Saccharomyces cerevisiae S288C: one gene and its partners. The protein of the gene in region 3 interacts with the protein of the main gene of each other region in a biochemical or structural test. Each region holds a gene or a part of one and is shown on either strand. Other genes may lie near its edges.

What was found.
Region 1: of the proteins of IPL1 (region 3) and SPC34, one has a biochemical effect on the other in vitro, tested with the Saccharomyces cerevisiae proteins (2 studies listed by BioGRID).
Region 2: of the proteins of IPL1 (region 3) and MIF2, one has a biochemical effect on the other in vitro, tested with the Saccharomyces cerevisiae proteins (2 studies listed by BioGRID).
Region 4: of the proteins of IPL1 (region 3) and DAM1, one has a biochemical effect on the other in vitro, tested with the Saccharomyces cerevisiae proteins (7 studies listed by BioGRID).

Annotation. Positions count from the first base shown.
Region 1 is NC_001143.9:509,060-513,601, reverse strand, and holds SPC34 (Spc34p), read left to right. Parts: upstream 1-1,804; coding exon 1,805-2,692; downstream 2,693-4,542. Other genes in the region: KAE1 (tRNA N6-adenosine threonylcarbamoyltransferase), read left to right, coding at 443-1,603; CAF4 (Caf4p), read left to right, coding at 2,969-4,542. UniProt on the Saccharomyces cerevisiae protein: Component of the DASH complex that connects microtubules with kinetochores and couples microtubule depolymerisation to chromosome movement; it is involved in retrieving kinetochores to the spindle poles before their re-orientation on the spindle in early mitosis and allows microtubule depolymerization to pull chromosomes apart and resist detachment during anaphase.
Region 2 is NC_001143.9:271,520-276,893, forward strand, and holds MIF2 (Mif2p), read left to right. Parts: upstream 1-1,874; coding exon 1,875-3,524; downstream 3,525-5,374. Other genes in the region: CUE2 (Cue2p), read left to right, coding at 359-1,690; phosphopantothenoylcysteine decarboxylase complex subunit CAB3, read left to right, coding at 3,764-5,374. UniProt on the Saccharomyces cerevisiae protein: Component of the kinetochore, a multiprotein complex that assembles on centromeric DNA and attaches chromosomes to spindle microtubules, mediating chromosome segregation and sister chromatid segregation during meiosis and mitosis.
Region 3 is NC_001148.4:155,990-159,769, reverse strand, and holds IPL1 (aurora kinase), read left to right. Parts: upstream 1-2,176; coding exon 2,177-3,280; downstream 3,281-3,780. Other genes in the region: RKM1 (protein-lysine N-methyltransferase), read right to left, coding at 177-1,928; signal recognition particle subunit SRP72, read left to right, coding at 3,558-3,780. UniProt on the Saccharomyces cerevisiae protein: Component of the chromosomal passenger complex (CPC), a complex that acts as a key regulator of chromosome segregation and cytokinesis.
Region 4 is NC_001139.9:717,219-720,424, forward strand, and holds DAM1 (Dam1p), read left to right. Parts: upstream 1-1,674; coding exon 1,675-2,706; downstream 2,707-3,206. Other genes in the region: cytochrome oxidase assembly protein SHY1, read left to right, coding at 140-1,309; chromatin-remodeling histone chaperone SPT6, read left to right, coding at 3,191-3,206. UniProt on the Saccharomyces cerevisiae protein: Component of the DASH complex that connects microtubules with kinetochores and couples microtubule depolymerisation to chromosome movement; it is involved in retrieving kinetochores to the spindle poles before their re-orientation on the spindle in early mitosis and allows microtubule depolymerization to pull chromosomes apart and resist detachment during anaphase.

The DNA of each region.
Region 1 (4,542 bases), on a different chromosome or scaffold from region 3:
GTGTATGTATATTATAGTCTTTATCATCAATGGCATCCCAACAATTATCTTAAAATTCACCCATTTGTCAAGATAATGGTTGATTCTTATTTAGACACAATAAAAAAACTTGAAGACATCTGCTTCTGAGCTGTAGAGGTACCAATTCGACGAAATATAAATATTTAAAACTAAGAGAAAAAATCCAACAAATAACGTTCCGTGATAGTTTAATGGTCAGAATGGGCGCTTGTCGCGTGCCAGATCGGGGTTCAATTCCCCGTCGCGGAGATTTTTTATTTTGCTTTTTATTCCTCCTGTAATATCGCTTTATACGGAAAAACTGAATTCTTTCATTATGATGAGTTCGAGAGTAACCATTTTTACTTCGTGCAACGATGCATATATTTATCTTTTACGTGAAGGGAATTCCCAAGCGTTCCCTAATGCAGTCGGGAGCAAAATGGTCAACTTGAACACTATCCCACCCAAAAATGGCAGGGACTACTACATTGCGCTTGGACTTGAAGGTTCTGCAAATAAACTGGGCGTTGGTATAGTTAAGCATCCGCTTCTGCCTAAACATGCCAACAGCGATCTATCTTATGATTGCGAAGCTGAGATGCTTTCTAATATTAGAGACACATATGTCACACCTCCTGGGGAGGGATTTTTGCCTCGAGACACGGCAAGGCATCACAGAAATTGGTGCATAAGACTCATAAAACAAGCACTGGCCGAAGCTGACATCAAAAGCCCGACACTAGACATTGATGTAATTTGCTTTACCAAAGGTCCCGGCATGGGGGCCCCTCTGCATTCAGTTGTCATCGCCGCCAGAACGTGCTCCTTACTGTGGGACGTGCCACTGGTGGGAGTAAACCACTGCATTGGTCACATCGAAATGGGGAGAGAAATCACTAAAGCTCAAAATCCTGTGGTACTGTATGTAAGTGGTGGAAATACACAAGTTATTGCATACTCGGAAAAAAGGTACCGTATCTTTGGTGAAACGCTTGATATTGCTATCGGTAATTGTCTTGATAGATTTGCAAGAACTCTGAAGATACCTAATGAGCCCTCGCCTGGCTACAACATCGAGCAGTTAGCTAAAAAAGCCCCTCACAAAGAAAACTTGGTAGAACTTCCCTATACAGTAAAGGGGATGGATCTTTCGATGAGTGGTATATTGGCTTCCATCGATTTACTTGCCAAGGATCTATTTAAGGGCAATAAGAAAAATAAGATCCTATTCGACAAGACAACGGGCGAGCAAAAAGTCACTGTAGAGGATCTTTGCTACTCTCTGCAAGAGAACCTATTCGCCATGCTAGTTGAAATAACAGAAAGAGCTATGGCTCACGTTAACTCCAATCAAGTTTTGATCGTAGGCGGTGTTGGTTGTAACGTGCGATTACAAGAAATGATGGCGCAAATGTGTAAAGACAGGGCCAATGGGCAAGTACATGCTACAGATAATAGGTTTTGTATCGATAACGGAGTTATGATTGCCCAAGCAGGACTACTAGAGTATAGAATGGGTGGGATCGTGAAGGACTTTTCTGAAACTGTTGTTACGCAGAAATTCAGAACCGATGAAGTATACGCAGCCTGGCGTGATTAACGATTTTTGTTACAGTTAGCCTAATGTTCACACTACGAATATATATATATATTTATATATGCCATACACCTTACATTTACAGCTCAGTGTATAACCTTGTGGAAGCGCGAAAATAAGCAAGAGACATTTGAAAATAATCAATAAACAAAGCTCAAAAAAATTAGATCATCACCTAACAAAATAAGACGTGGCAATTACAGAATGGGGGAAAGCTTGGATAGATGTATAGATGATATTAATAGGGCGGTGGACTCTATGTCCACACTCTATTTCAAGCCACCAGGAATTTTTCATAATGCCATCCTACAGGGAGCAAGCAACAAGGCAAGCATTAGAAAAGACATTACTAGACTAATAAAGGACTGTAACCACGACGAGGCGTATCTTCTGTTCAAAGTCAACCCTGAGAAACAATCCGTTTCACGTAGAGACGGCAAGGAGGGAGTATTCGACTATGTTATTAAACGAGATACGGACATGAAAAGAAATAGAAGGCTGGGCAGACCAGGGGAAAAACCGATCATCCATGTGCCCAAGGAAGTATATTTGAACAAAGATCGTCTTGATTTGAACAATAAAAGGAGAAGAACCGCCACTACAAGTGGCGGTGGCTTGAACGGTTTTATTTTTGATACCGATCTTATAGGATCCTCTGTCATTTCAAATTCAAGTTCAGGTACATTCAAAGCATTATCAGCCGTGTTCAAGGATGATCCGCAAATTCAAAGGCTCCTATATGCCTTGGAAAATGGAAGCGTGCTCATGGAAGAAGAATCCAATAACCAAAGAAGAAAAACCATCTTTGTCGAGGATTTCCCTACTGATTTAATTCTTAAAGTTATGGCCGAAGTAACAGATTTATGGCCACTAACAGAGTTCAAGCAGGATTACGACCAATTGTACCATAATTATGAACAACTTTCTTCCAAATTGCGCTTCATCAAGAAAGAAGTTTTGCTTCAAGATGATCGCTTAAAGACTATGTCACAGTACCATCCTTCTTCTTCTCACGACGTTGCTAAGATTATTCGAAAAGAAAAAGATGAAATTAGGCGGCTAGAAATGGAGATAGCCAACTTGCAAGAGTAGGGGAGCACTTCTCCTCAAGAATAGATATTTCCTTTGTCCTAATTGCATACATAGGCCACTGCAAATCATATAATTATGTATTACCTTACATCTAAATGTATAAAACCAACTGAGCGGATCCACCATGGGTCTGTCTCCTGTTAAAGCATGTAGCTTCATGTTTCTCACATAAACTTTCCTCATCGTAATGGAAAAAAAAAATAGTCATAAAAAAAAAACTAACCATGAATGACATATAAGATTACCACGAGCGAGAGTAAAAAAGAGTATCTCTATATGGGTTCGGGCGATACTAGAGGAGAAAGCTCTCTGGTAGCTAAACCAATCGAAATTATACTTAATAAGCTACCACATGCCATACTAGCGCAACAACAATTTCAAAAATATATAACGAGCCCCATCTACAGATATCTTTCCAAACTTCTACTGTTCAGAGAGGTGGCTTGGCCCGAAAGTACAAAAGATACCCAGAAAGGACAAGTAGGGATATTTTCCTTTCAAAACAATTATGCAGACTCTGCAACAACTTTCAGAATACTTGCTCATTTAGATGAGCAGCGATACCCGCTACCCAACGGTGCCGCTGAAAAGAATTTACCTTCTTTATTTGAAGGATTCAAAGCTACCGTTTCCATCATTCAACAGAGACTGTTGTTAGACAATGTAGACGGGGCCACGAATAGTGATAAGGAAAAATACGTTCAATTGCCGGATATTAATACTGGTTTTGTGAATAAAACGTACTCTAGAATTGACCTAACACATTTACTTGAGGATGTAGAAACTAACGTGGAAAATCTGTCAATCAATAAAACGTTAGAGATGGATGAGTTGACCAGATTAGATTCCATGATCAACGAACTAGAATCCAGGAAATTAAAAATCCTGGAAAGGGTTAAGCACATTGATAGTAAGTCTACCAATCTTGAGAATGATGTAACACTGATAAAGGATAGAATAAATTTTATCGAGGAATACAATTTGGAAGCTGATCGTGAACAGAGCTTACGGAAGCAAATGGAAGAAGAAAGATCATCTGAAGCGTCGTCCTTCACGCAAAATGAAGAAGCCATATCGTCGTTATGTGATGTTGAAAGTAAGGATACGAGATTAAAAGATTTTTACAAGATGCCCCATGAAAAAAGCCACGATAAAAACAGGCAAATTATCTCAGAAACATATAGCCGAAATACCACGGCTTTCAGAATGACAATACCCCATGGCGAACATGGAAACAGCATAACCGCATTAGACTTTGATACACCATGGGGAACCTTGTGCTCATCAAGCTACCAAGATCGTATAGTAAAAGTGTGGGATTTGAACCATGGGATACAAGTTGGAGAGCTGCCTGGTCACCTTGCTACTGTTAATTGCATGCAAATAGATAAGAAAAATTACAATATGTTGATTACTGGAAGTAAGGATGCCACTCTGAAGTTATGGGACTTAAATCTGAGTAGAGAAATATATTTGGACCATAGTCCATTGAAGGAGAAGACAGAAGAAATTGTTACACCATGTATCCATAATTTTGAGTTACATAAAGACGAAATCACAGCCCTGTCTTTTGATTCTGAAGCTTTGGTTAGCGGATCTAGGGACAAAAAAATATTCCACTGGGATTTAACGACGGGCAAATGTATTCAGCAACTTGACCTTATCTTCACACCTACACATAGCGACATTAAAATGCCTGCACGTTCATTAAACAATGGTGCATGTTTACTTGGCACAGAAGCACCAATGATAGGAGCCCTCCAATGTTACAACTCTGCATTAGCAACAGGAACAAAAGATGGCATTGTGCGACTATGGGATCTAAGAGTTGGCAAACCGGTGAGATTACT
Region 2 (5,374 bases), on a different chromosome or scaffold from region 3:
AAAACTGTTGTGCTCGATCCTGAATGGAAAAGACTGACACTATAAGGAGACTTATTCTAGATATCGTAGAACAAACATATGTTACTTTAACGTCGCTGGACACTCACAGACAAGCCTCAGGGGAGACGTTTGAAACCGTAGAGGAATACGTATGAAATATAAATCAACAAACATACGTACTGAATTATGTATCAGGATATATTGCTTTCACAGTTTGGAAATTGCCTCTATCACCAAGATATTCACTGTTAAAAAAAAAAATGCGAAAAAATTCAAATTTCAACAGCGATATTCGCCTTCAGTATATCAATATAAAGCAATTATGACACCTCATTTATCGTGCATATAAGATCATGCAATGAGTATGGATAACAATGATGACCATGAATCTAAATTGTCAATCTTGATGGACATGTTTCCAGCTATTTCCAAATCCAAATTACAAGTACATTTACTTGAAAACAATAATGATTTGGATTTAACGATAGGCTTGCTGTTAAAAGAAAACGACGATAAGTCTACAGTTGATAATGAATTACATCAACTGTACGACATGTTTCCTCAGCTTGATTGCAGCGTTATAAAAGATCAGTTTGTAATAAATGAGAAGTCCGTAGAATCGACTATTTCTGATCTTCTGAATTATGAAACCCTGCAAAAACTTAAAGACAATCAAGCAAATTCTCCTGATAGCGTAAAAAGGAACGAAAAGAAAAATAATTGGGAATCAACAAACGATCACATAGAGAGTATAATAAAGTTTACCGACGCTCCCAAAAATATTGCGCAGGAATACTTAGCCGAAAATGGTTTTGATACAGTAAAGGCGATCATCAAAATCATTTTGGATTATTACGACAAAAGGGATTTTAAAAAAGATGTGGATACTTTCAAAGTAAAACGGAGTCCTAATACGACTGTGAGAGGTGGTCGAGTTCAATCATCGACGGGGCTTGCCCACGTTTTGAAAAAGGGTAAAGAATCCGCAAATGTTGCTCAAGAGAGTCTCAAAAGGCCAAGGAGTTATAAGCACTCCTTGGATAGTCCGCAGATGGTTGAGTTAAATGAATTAGTTGCAGATAATCGCGATCTCAAAGCCATAAACCATGAATTTTTGCAAAAATGCCTGCAATTTTATGATGGAGATGTTGTAAAGGTGTTGAACATATCGTCCTTATTGATCGAAGATGACAAGAATATTACGAAAACTTGGAACTTTGACGAAGGTTTTACCTTGACATCCAGAGATAATTGTAAGCAACATTTACCCAAATTTTCAACACCGCAGATTTCCCGCAGAAATGAGGTAGGAAATACTTATAAATTGCCCCTTCATGACAAAGAAACCCCCGAGGGAGCTGTGCCGGTTATAAATAACCTGTTTCAAACATACAGATTGGATTTCCATGGTTTTCTTCCCAGTGAAGCGGTTTCAACACTGAAACTTGCATTAAATAAGTGGTGGTCCAAAGAGGTAGCAGAACGAGAGTTGAACTCCCACAACATAAACTCATATGGCTCAAAAGTACAGTTTGTAAGCCCGTTAATCGTGGTAACTGGTAGAGGTATCCACAGCATCGGCGGGATCTCAAAGGTTCGACTGCAGGTTAAAAGTTTTCTTGAAAAAAATCACTACATATTTTGGGAAGAATCTTCCTACTTCAGAATTGAGGGTAAGAAGAAGAAATAAAACCTATCTGATTTTTCTATAAAGGTTATAAACGCTAGGCTTCTTTAAACTGCATTGGGTTTTTTCTCAATTTCGAGAAAAATAATATAACGCGTTAGAAATGGTGATGTAAATAAATGAATGTTAGAAAAATACATACGTTAAACAAATAAGTTAGACATTAGCACAGGACAGCACTTCACTCATGGATTATATGAAATTGGGGCTTAAGTCCCGTAAAACTGGTATTGATGTTAAGCAAGATATACCCAAAGATGAATACAGCATGGAAAATATTGATGATTTTTTCAAAGATGATGAAACTAGTCTTATCAGTATGAGAAGGAAAAGCAGAAGAAAATCATCGCTTTTCTTACCATCAACGTTAAATGGCGATACTAAGAACGTATTACCGCCATTTCTACAGTCATATAAATCTCAAGATGATGAAGTTGTCCAAAGCCCATCTGGGAAAGGCGATGGATCAAGACGATCATCTTTGTTAAGCCATCAATCAAACTTCCTGAGTCCAGCCAATGATTTCGAGCCTATTGAGGAAGAACCAGAACAAGAAGAAAATGATATCAGAGGCAATGATTTTGCCACACCAATCACACAGAAATTGAGTAAACCTACATATAAAAGAAAGTACTCCACTCGGTATAGCCTTGACACTTCAGAAAGCCCTTCTGTAAGGTTGACACCTGATAGAATCACTAATAAGAATGTTTATTCAGATGTACCTGATTTGGTTGCTGATGAGGATGACGATGATAGAGTAAACACTTCTTTAAACACATCTGATAACGCATTATTAGAAGACGAATTAGAAGATGACGGGTTTATACCTGAAAGTGAAGAGGACGGTGATTACATTGAAAGTGACTCATCTTTGGATTCAGGCTCGGATTCAGCCAGTGATTCAGATGGAGATAACACCTATCAAGAAGTAGAAGAGGAGGCTGAGGTGAACACAAATGACAATGAAGATGATTATATAAGACGACAAGCGAGTGATGTGGTTCGTACAGATTCAATAATTGATAGAAACGGGCTTCGGAAATCTACAAGAGTCAAGGTGGCGCCTTTGCAGTATTGGAGGAACGAAAAAATAGTATATAAGAGGAAGTCCAATAAACCCGTTCTTGACATAGACAAAATTGTCACATATGATGAATCTGAAGACGAAGAGGAGATATTGGCAGCACAAAGAAGGAAGAAACAAAAAAAAAAACCTACACCAACCAGACCTTACAACTACGTACCTACGGGGAGACCAAGAGGAAGGCCAAAGAAGGATCCAAATGCAAAGGAAAATTTGATTCCAGAAGATCCCAACGAGGATATTATAGAAAGGATAGAATCTGGAGGCATAGAAAATGGCGAGTGGCTGAAACATGGAATACTGGAAGCTAATGTGAAAATTAGCGACACTAAGGAGGAAACTAAGGATGAAATTATTGCATTCGCGCCCAATTTGTCGCAAACTGAACAAGTAAAAGACACGAAGGACGAGAATTTTGCCCTTGAGATAATGTTCGATAAGCATAAAGAATATTTTGCTAGCGGCATATTAAAACTACCAGCTATTTCTGGACAAAAGAAATTAAGCAACTCATTTAGGACATATATTACGTTCCACGTGATACAGGGAATAGTCGAAGTAACTGTATGTAAGAACAAGTTCTTGAGCGTTAAAGGTTCCACTTTCCAAATACCGGCATTCAACGAGTACGCGATTGCCAATAGAGGGAATGATGAAGCCAAAATGTTCTTCGTTCAAGTGACCGTTTCAGAAGACGCTAACGATGACAACGACAAAGAATTAGACAGTACGTTTGACACTTTTGGGTAATTATGATGTGAATATTCTCATTATGCATGCTATGTACTGAAGAAATATAACTAGGTCCATACGCTTATACTGTTAAACATGTGAACTTTTCTGTAAGAAAATGAATCACGTAAAATTTCGCACCGAACTTTCGTAGATGAGAGAACAAAAAGCAGAAAAAGAGAAAGAACAGTAAAGTAACACTTAGTTAGCATATTTAAATAAAAGTCTAAAGGACCAGCAAAGAGTTATTAGGTGTGATGACGGATGAAAAAGTGAACTCAGATCAGAATATGAACGGTAAGCAGGGAGTTAACTTAATTTCATCCTTGCCTACAACACAAGTGCCGGTTTCAATTTTGACCAACAAGGAGAGAAGAAAAAGTATTCACGATGAATCAAATTTCGAAAGATCTGATAGTCATGAAGATCAATCAAAATCCAACTCTAATAGGAGGAATATTTACAAAAACGATTATAGCACAAATTTGAGGGATTTCTCTTTTGCCAATCTGAAGCAAAATAGTGAAAGGAACAAAGATGGCCATGAAATACAGATCAACACCAGTATGCCAGCTAATACAAATGGCCAGCAAAAAAGGTTTTCACCTTCATTACCTTCTGCTGTTTCATTTACGGTGCCCGAGGTGGAAAGGTTGCCGTATCATAGATATTCGATATCCAATAAACCTGGAAAGCAGCAGCAGCAGCAGGAACAACTGCAGCAAAATCAACAACAAGAAGAGCAGCAAAAGGCACAACTGCAGGAGCAAAATCAACGAGCAAAACAGCAAGAAGAGGTGAAGCAAATTCAGGAGCAAGTGCAAAAAAAGCAAACTGAAAGACAGCAACTGATAGACGAAAAGGAGAGGATAGCGAATGCAATATTTAAGGAGAACACTACTAATGATGGTACTGATATCAGGAAACATTCGGTATCGAGTGGTACGAGCAATAGCGAAGATGAAGTAGATTCACCTTCGATGGAAAAAAATTCTATCGTTCATATGCCAGGTGATTTTATCTACTTCAATCCCAAGTCAAACGCTTCTAAACCTATCACTGCAAAGGCGGCGCCATTATCGGCTAATAACTCCACACATAAAAACAAGGAAGTTATCACTGCACCCACAGGGCCTCGTGTACCCTTCACAGAGTTCTTTCAGAAGGAAGACGACAAGAAATTCCACATTCTCATTGGTGCGACGGGCTCAGTTGCCACAATAAAAGTACCTCTAATTATTGATAAACTTTTCAAGATATATGGGCCTGAGAAAATCTCTATTCAGTTGATTGTCACAAAACCCGCTGAGCATTTTTTGAAAGGGCTCAAAATGTCAACACACGTTAAAATTTGGAGGGAGGAAGACGCTTGGGTATTCGACGCTGTGAATAAGAATGATACTAGCTTGAGTCTGAACTTGATATTGCACCATGAATTAAGAAAATGGGCTGATATTTTCCTGATTGCGCCTTTGTCAGCTAACACACTTGCTAAACTGGCCAATGGTATATGTAACAATTTGCTAACTTCTGTGATGAGAGATTGGTCACCACTGACCCCAGTGTTGATTGCGCCTGCAATGAATACATTCATGTATATCAATCCTATGACAAAGAAACACCTGACGAGTTTAGTGCAAGACTATCCGTTCATCCAAGTTTTGAAACCGGTGGAAAAGGTATTAATATGCGGAGATATTGGTATGGGTGGTATGAGAGAATGGACAGATATTGTAGAGATCGTTAGGAGGAGAATCAATGAAATACGGAAAGCTAGGGACGAGGAAACTGGTGATAAAGAGCAAGAACAAGAAGAACAAGAGGGTGCTGACAATGAGGACGACGATGATGAGGATGACGAAGAGGAT
Region 3 (3,780 bases):
ATGTTTTATACACAAATATCGGGCATCGCAGCTCCATGGCGAAAAATTTCATCGAAGCCATATTCGGATACCCGGGACACTTCTGACCAATGAGAACCCAGTTTGTTAGTAAGTGCATTTATTAAATAAGTGCAGATGTAATTACGTACTCTACTCTAACATTCTATAAGGAAAAGCTACTTACGTACTAAAATAGTCTCTTCGGTTGTAGATGAAGTTCTGGTAAAGGAATTGTCTACTACAAACTGAATCGCATGATCTACTTCGGCCAAATCCACATCGTCTTGCTTCTCGAAGTATGCAGTATGGAAAGCCTTGGCATCATCTGAAATATATGCAGTTTGCTTGAAATTAGTATACTGCTGTCCAACCCATTCATATTTGGTGGGGTAAGAATTCTTTTTCGTTTTCAGTAGAATCCAAAGTATCAATAAATCATAAGTAGATTCAAAGATGACCTCTTCACCATCTTCGTTGCTGAACAGCGAAGGTAATTCAGTTTCTGCAAAAGCAGGGTCATTCTTAAGAATTTTGCTCATGGTTAGCAATTGGTGCTTGTTCTCTGACAGCATTGTTTTTTCTAGTTTTTTCAACCTCGTTAAAGCCTCTTTTAAAATTTGTTTTTGACCTTTAGTATAAACGTCAGCACAATAGACTCTGTAAGGATCAATTGCATAAGAGTCATCAGTTGCAGGTGGTCCAGTAATGCTGTTGAGTTTGCTCTGCAATGCATTTCGTAGCATTTGTATACCCTGCAAACGGGCTCTCAAATCGTGTAGATCCTCCTCTTCGGCCTTAGAAAGGTAGGTAAAAAGATCCAGTAATGGTTCTAAACATTGTTCATTTTGTATGTTAATGAAGTAAGTCACCCCATTGATGTAGTCTGTAGCACTACGAGTAGCCTTCTTTTCTTGCTGGACACAGTCTTTGTTTTCAAAAGCATAAGTGGTGTAATCCGAAAGTAAGGGCAGCTTCAAACTAGGTTCTGTTTCAAGAATTGTAGATACCACATCTAATGGCAATTTAACTTTCAAAGCCACTGAGTCAAATATGTTGTCTTCTAAAACAAATCCATATCCAGAGAGTAACTCCTCATTTCCCTTACCGCCATAATTATTTGATAGTTCTCGTGATTGGGAGGCGGTACCGATTTTTTCATAACAGAACCACCCATTTTCAGGATACCATTTGACTTTGGAACGGTAGTCATGATTTAGAAGATCGACGATGGGAAGCAGTACAATAGAGTTGTCAGGACAGTTTCTGTTTAGCACATATTCAGGGAATGCTCTTGAAATGAATATAAGGTGCGACCATAAAAATGCAGGAAAAGAATACCAGATAGTTGGTCTTTGAAGTTCTGTTATCTTCAAAATCTTCTCATACAAAGCCTCATATGTCAACTCATCGAGATTATGGAAGGTCTGCACATCATCTGCCACTCTTTCCAAGTCAAACATATCTGAAGAACTGACCAGTTCAAACCACTCTTTAAATATACCTTCGAACTTTTCATGAATCGAATTCCCTATGTTTGTAGATGATAAACGCTTCAACTCGCTTGGGTTCCAGACCAAGGGCGAATTTAGGCGGGAAGGCAATGCATCCAAGTAAGGTTTAAATTTATCATTCACACGAACATTGTCCACGATAGTATCATTATCCCTATCAAATTTTATTTTTGCGAAGAACAACTTCAGCCATCCGTTGATATTCTTAGTGGATTCACTTAGCCCAAAAAACTTCATGGGCAGATTCCTTGAAATGACAATCTCGGGAGGAATCTTGATGCTGGGATTGTCTATATCTTTTTCACATACGCAAATAATGCCCTTAAGATCGGTATATAAAAACTTGAGTTCCTCTGGCACTATTACACCAAATGACGCACCCCACTGAAGTAGTGCTTTTAACGCATCTGATGACATGATAGTCTTCTCTTGTATCTATAACCTTTGTGCTCCATTTTCCGATACAGCATTGCTTATTGAACAGTAAGTTTAACTTCACGCGTTTTTCCTGTAAAGCGCTTAATTTGTTTACCATTCTATAAAAACCTTGAGCTAAGGCCAACTGATGCAATTGCTCAAGTGAATGCATAAACAAAGCAAGATCATTCTTAGCGCAAAAAAAACTGGGATTTTGAAATACAACAAAAGAAAGAAGTAAAAAGGGAATGCAACGCAATAGTTTAGTAAATATCAAACTAAACGCTAATTCGCCATCGAAAAAGACCACAACAAGACCAAATACGTCCAGGATCAATAAACCATGGAGAATATCCCATTCGCCGCAGCAAAGAAACCCGAATTCAAAAATACCTTCACCTGTAAGAGAAAAATTGAACAGATTACCTGTAAACAATAAGAAGTTTTTGGATATGGAAAGCTCCAAAATTCCATCACCTATAAGGAAAGCGACTTCTTCCAAAATGATACACGAAAATAAGAAGCTACCTAAATTTAAATCCCTATCACTCGATGACTTTGAACTGGGGAAGAAATTAGGAAAGGGTAAATTCGGTAAAGTTTATTGCGTTCGGCACAGGAGTACAGGATATATTTGCGCACTGAAAGTAATGGAGAAGGAAGAAATAATAAAGTATAATTTACAGAAACAATTCAGAAGGGAGGTAGAAATACAAACATCGCTAAATCATCCGAATCTAACTAAATCATACGGCTATTTTCATGATGAAAAAAGAGTGTACCTGCTAATGGAATACTTAGTCAATGGGGAAATGTATAAACTATTGAGGTTACACGGACCCTTCAACGATATTTTAGCATCAGATTATATTTATCAAATTGCCAATGCCCTAGATTATATGCATAAAAAGAATATTATTCATAGAGATATTAAACCTGAAAATATACTAATAGGGTTCAATAATGTCATTAAGTTAACGGACTTCGGATGGAGTATAATAAATCCGCCAGAAAATAGAAGGAAAACTGTCTGTGGGACAATTGACTACCTTTCTCCAGAAATGGTGGAGTCAAGGGAATATGATCACACTATAGATGCATGGGCTCTTGGCGTCCTGGCGTTTGAACTACTGACCGGTGCCCCTCCGTTCGAAGAAGAAATGAAAGATACTACATATAAAAGGATAGCAGCACTGGATATCAAAATGCCCAGTAACATTTCTCAGGATGCGCAAGATTTAATACTTAAACTACTAAAATACGACCCCAAAGATAGAATGCGCCTTGGAGACGTAAAAATGCATCCTTGGATACTAAGAAACAAGCCCTTTTGGGAAAATAAGCGGTTATAGAATTAAAGTATGACAGAATCGTTTGAAGGGCACTATTAATCACTCCCGCACATATCACATAATACTAAGTATCCATTTCTAATATTTCATTACTCTTTTCGGCATCGTATATTGCGATATTTGATTAAATTTTCTTGTTCATTTTTTCCTCTTTTCTTTCGCCTTTGTCGAAAGAAAAGAGGAAAACAAGCTGAAAATTGCTATGCATTAAAGTAGCAGATTTACTTTGTTGAGTTGGTTCTGATCAATAATAAGAGTAATGAAAGAAAGCAAAAAAATGGCTAAAGATAATTTAACTAATTTGCTCTCTCAATTGAACATTCAATTGTCTCAAGACGAGCATTCGCAGGTCGAACAGACTTGCGTGAAACTATTGGATTCTGGATGTGAGAATCCAGCGGATGTATTTAGACGTTGCTTAGTAGCTGTTATCCAACAGGACAAGTATCAAAAGGCTTTACATTATTTAAAAAAATTCAAACATATAGATGACAAGTACG
Region 4 (3,206 bases), on a different chromosome or scaffold from region 3:
TAGCCGAGTATATTTAAGGGATTCTTATGCAATGATGAAATATTTTTCACCTATAACGCCGACTACTGAAAACAGAGGGCCATCTTAACCGTTTTGCATTCAGTAACCCATACTCAGGATTTAATAAAAGAGGAAAGCAATGTCTCTACTAGGCGCCAGGTCCACTTACCGTTGGTTTTCAATCGCTGCATCAATTCCGACTAAGAATGCTATTGGCAAATCCACGTACCTCTTAGCTTCAAGAAATCAACAGTACCGAGGCATCATAACGTCAACTGTAGACTGGAAACCAATCAAGACAGGTAAGAGCCCAAATGATGATTCTCGAAGAGAAAGATCCTTTGGCAAGAAAATTGTTCTGGGTCTGATGTTCGCGATGCCAATAATATCCTTCTATTTGGGAACTTGGCAAGTAAGGAGATTGAAGTGGAAAACCAAGCTGATTGCGGCATGCGAAACTAAACTTACTTATGAACCAATACCACTTCCTAAGTCATTTACACCTGACATGTGCGAGGATTGGGAATACCGTAAAGTTATACTTACCGGACACTTCCTTCACAATGAAGAGATGTTTGTTGGTCCAAGAAAGAAAAATGGAGAAAAGGGTTATTTTCTGTTTACACCGTTCATTAGAGATGACACCGGTGAGAAAGTTCTGATAGAAAGAGGGTGGATAAGTGAAGAAAAAGTTGCTCCTGACTCAAGAAATTTACACCATTTGTCGTTGCCTCAAGAAGAACACTTGAAAGTGGTTTGCTTAGTAAGACCTCCAAAGAAAAGAGGCTCGCTACAATGGGCGAAAAAGGATCCAAATTCTAGATTGTGGCAGGTGCCAGACATATATGACATGGCAAGATCATCAGGGTGCACGCCCATTCAATTTCAAGCCTTGTATGACATGAAGGACCATCCAATAATCGAGGAACACACAAGAAACGAGGCTTCACAAAACAATTCCACCTCTAGCCTGTGGAAGTTCTGGAAACGAGAACCTACGACTGCTGTAAACGGAACGCAAGCTGTTGATAATAATACATCGAAGCCTCGTTCTAGGCAGGAAATGCCGACAGACCAAACAATTGAATTCGATGAACGACAGTTTATCAAAGCAGGTGTTCCCATAGGCCGGAAGCCCACTATTGATTTAAAGAATAACCATCTACAATATTTGGTAACGTGGTATGGCCTTTCGTTTTTGAGCACAATCTTCCTCATTGTGGCTCTTAGGAAGGCGAAAAGAGGGGGCGTTGTGTCCCAAGACCAACTAATGAAAGAGAAACTGAAGCATTCAAGGAAATATATGTAAACGGCAAACTCCTCTGCCCATACTATCGAACTCTATCCAAGAAGCGCGTAATTTCACGAGCACTGCCTAAACGGTTTTCCACATTAGTTTTGCAACTACAATGATTCGGATATGGCACATTTACATAATTTAAACTTGTACATAACTAACACCTTTTTATCCATATACCTTATGTGCCGCTCAAGATATGAACATTGCGCGTTGCCCGGACAATATCGATAAATAATAGCCAAAACAAACATGTTTTATCGACGCATGAATCCTTTGGCGTTAAACTTGTCCAATTGCACTGAAACTTGGAGCGTATAAGCTCAGCAATTGCACCAAAACAATATCAGAAAAGGCTTGTATTGCCACTTTCACCTATGAGCGAAGATAAAGCTAAATTAGGGACCACAAGGTCTGCCACGGAATATCGTTTATCCATTGGTAGCGCTCCGACTTCAAGAAGGTCGTCTATGGGTGAATCCTCATCCCTGATGAAATTTGCTGATCAAGAGGGATTAACGAGTTCCGTTGGCGAATATAACGAGAATACCATACAACAGCTTCTGTTGCCTAAAATAAGAGAACTGAGCGATTCAATCATTACTTTAGATTCCAATTTCACGCGCTTAAATTTTATCCACGAGAGTTTAGCTGATCTTAATGAATCCCTAGGTTCGTTGTTGTACGGTATTATGAGCAATTCATGGTGCGTAGAATTCTCACAGGCGCCTCATGATATTCAAGACGATTTGATCGCTATTAAACAATTGAAATCGTTGGAAGATGAGAAAAATAACTTAGTAATGGAACTCTCCAATATGGAACGCGGGATTAAAAGAAAAAAAGACGAACAAGGTGAAAATGATTTGGCCAAGGCATCTCAGAACAAACAGTTTAACCAGCCGCTATTTCCCTCCTCACAAGTAAGAAAATACAGGTCATATGACAACAGAGACAAGAGGAAGCCCTCCAAGATAGGCAACAACTTACAAGTAGAGAATGAGGAGGACTATGAAGACGATACTAGTAGTGAAGCTTCTTTTGTTCTAAATCCAACAAATATCGGTATGTCCAAATCATCTCAAGGTCACGTGACTAAAACCACGCGTTTGAATAATAATACCAACAGTAAACTGAGAAGAAAGTCCATCTTACATACAATCAGAAATAGCATTGCTTCCGGCGCTGATTTACCCATCGAAAACGACAATGTTGTTAATTTGGGAGATCTGCATCCAAATAATCGAATATCACTCGGAAGTGGTGCTGCAAGAGTGGTCAATGGGCCCGTTACGAAGAACAGAAATTCAATGTTCTCAGGACGTGCTGAAAGGAAACCCACAGAAAGCAGACATTCTGTTGCAAAGAAAACTGAAAAAAAAATAAATACAAGGCCCCCCTTCAGATGACTACGCCCAACCCAACCAAAGAATTATCCTCCTCACAAAATATATCGCTAGCATGCGTGAGTTATGGATAAGAAGAATATTTGATGAGCTGACTGATTCTTTATAGCAATAGGGAGGAAGGCAGTACACATATCAGCAGTGCATGGGCACAACCCGCATTACAACGAAACATGATATATCTATATAAAAGAAGATACGGACAGGCGGTCGAGGCTATTACTGTGCCACTATGCGAGTCATGAATGATTTTTAAATTAGTTAGTACCCCTTTATATAACGTCTTCAATAAAAGTGCGGGAAAATTCGGGTAATATTTTCTATAACTGTCATTTTTTTTTCGTTATGTATGGCAAACCAAATTGACAAGAAACTGGACAACGGTTAAAGCAAAAGGAGGAAGAAAGATATTGATTTGTGCTTTGAAGAATAACCCAAGCGAACAGGTCATTAATTGCCTAGAATCTTTACATAGAATTTGCCTTTTATGGAAGAGACGGGAG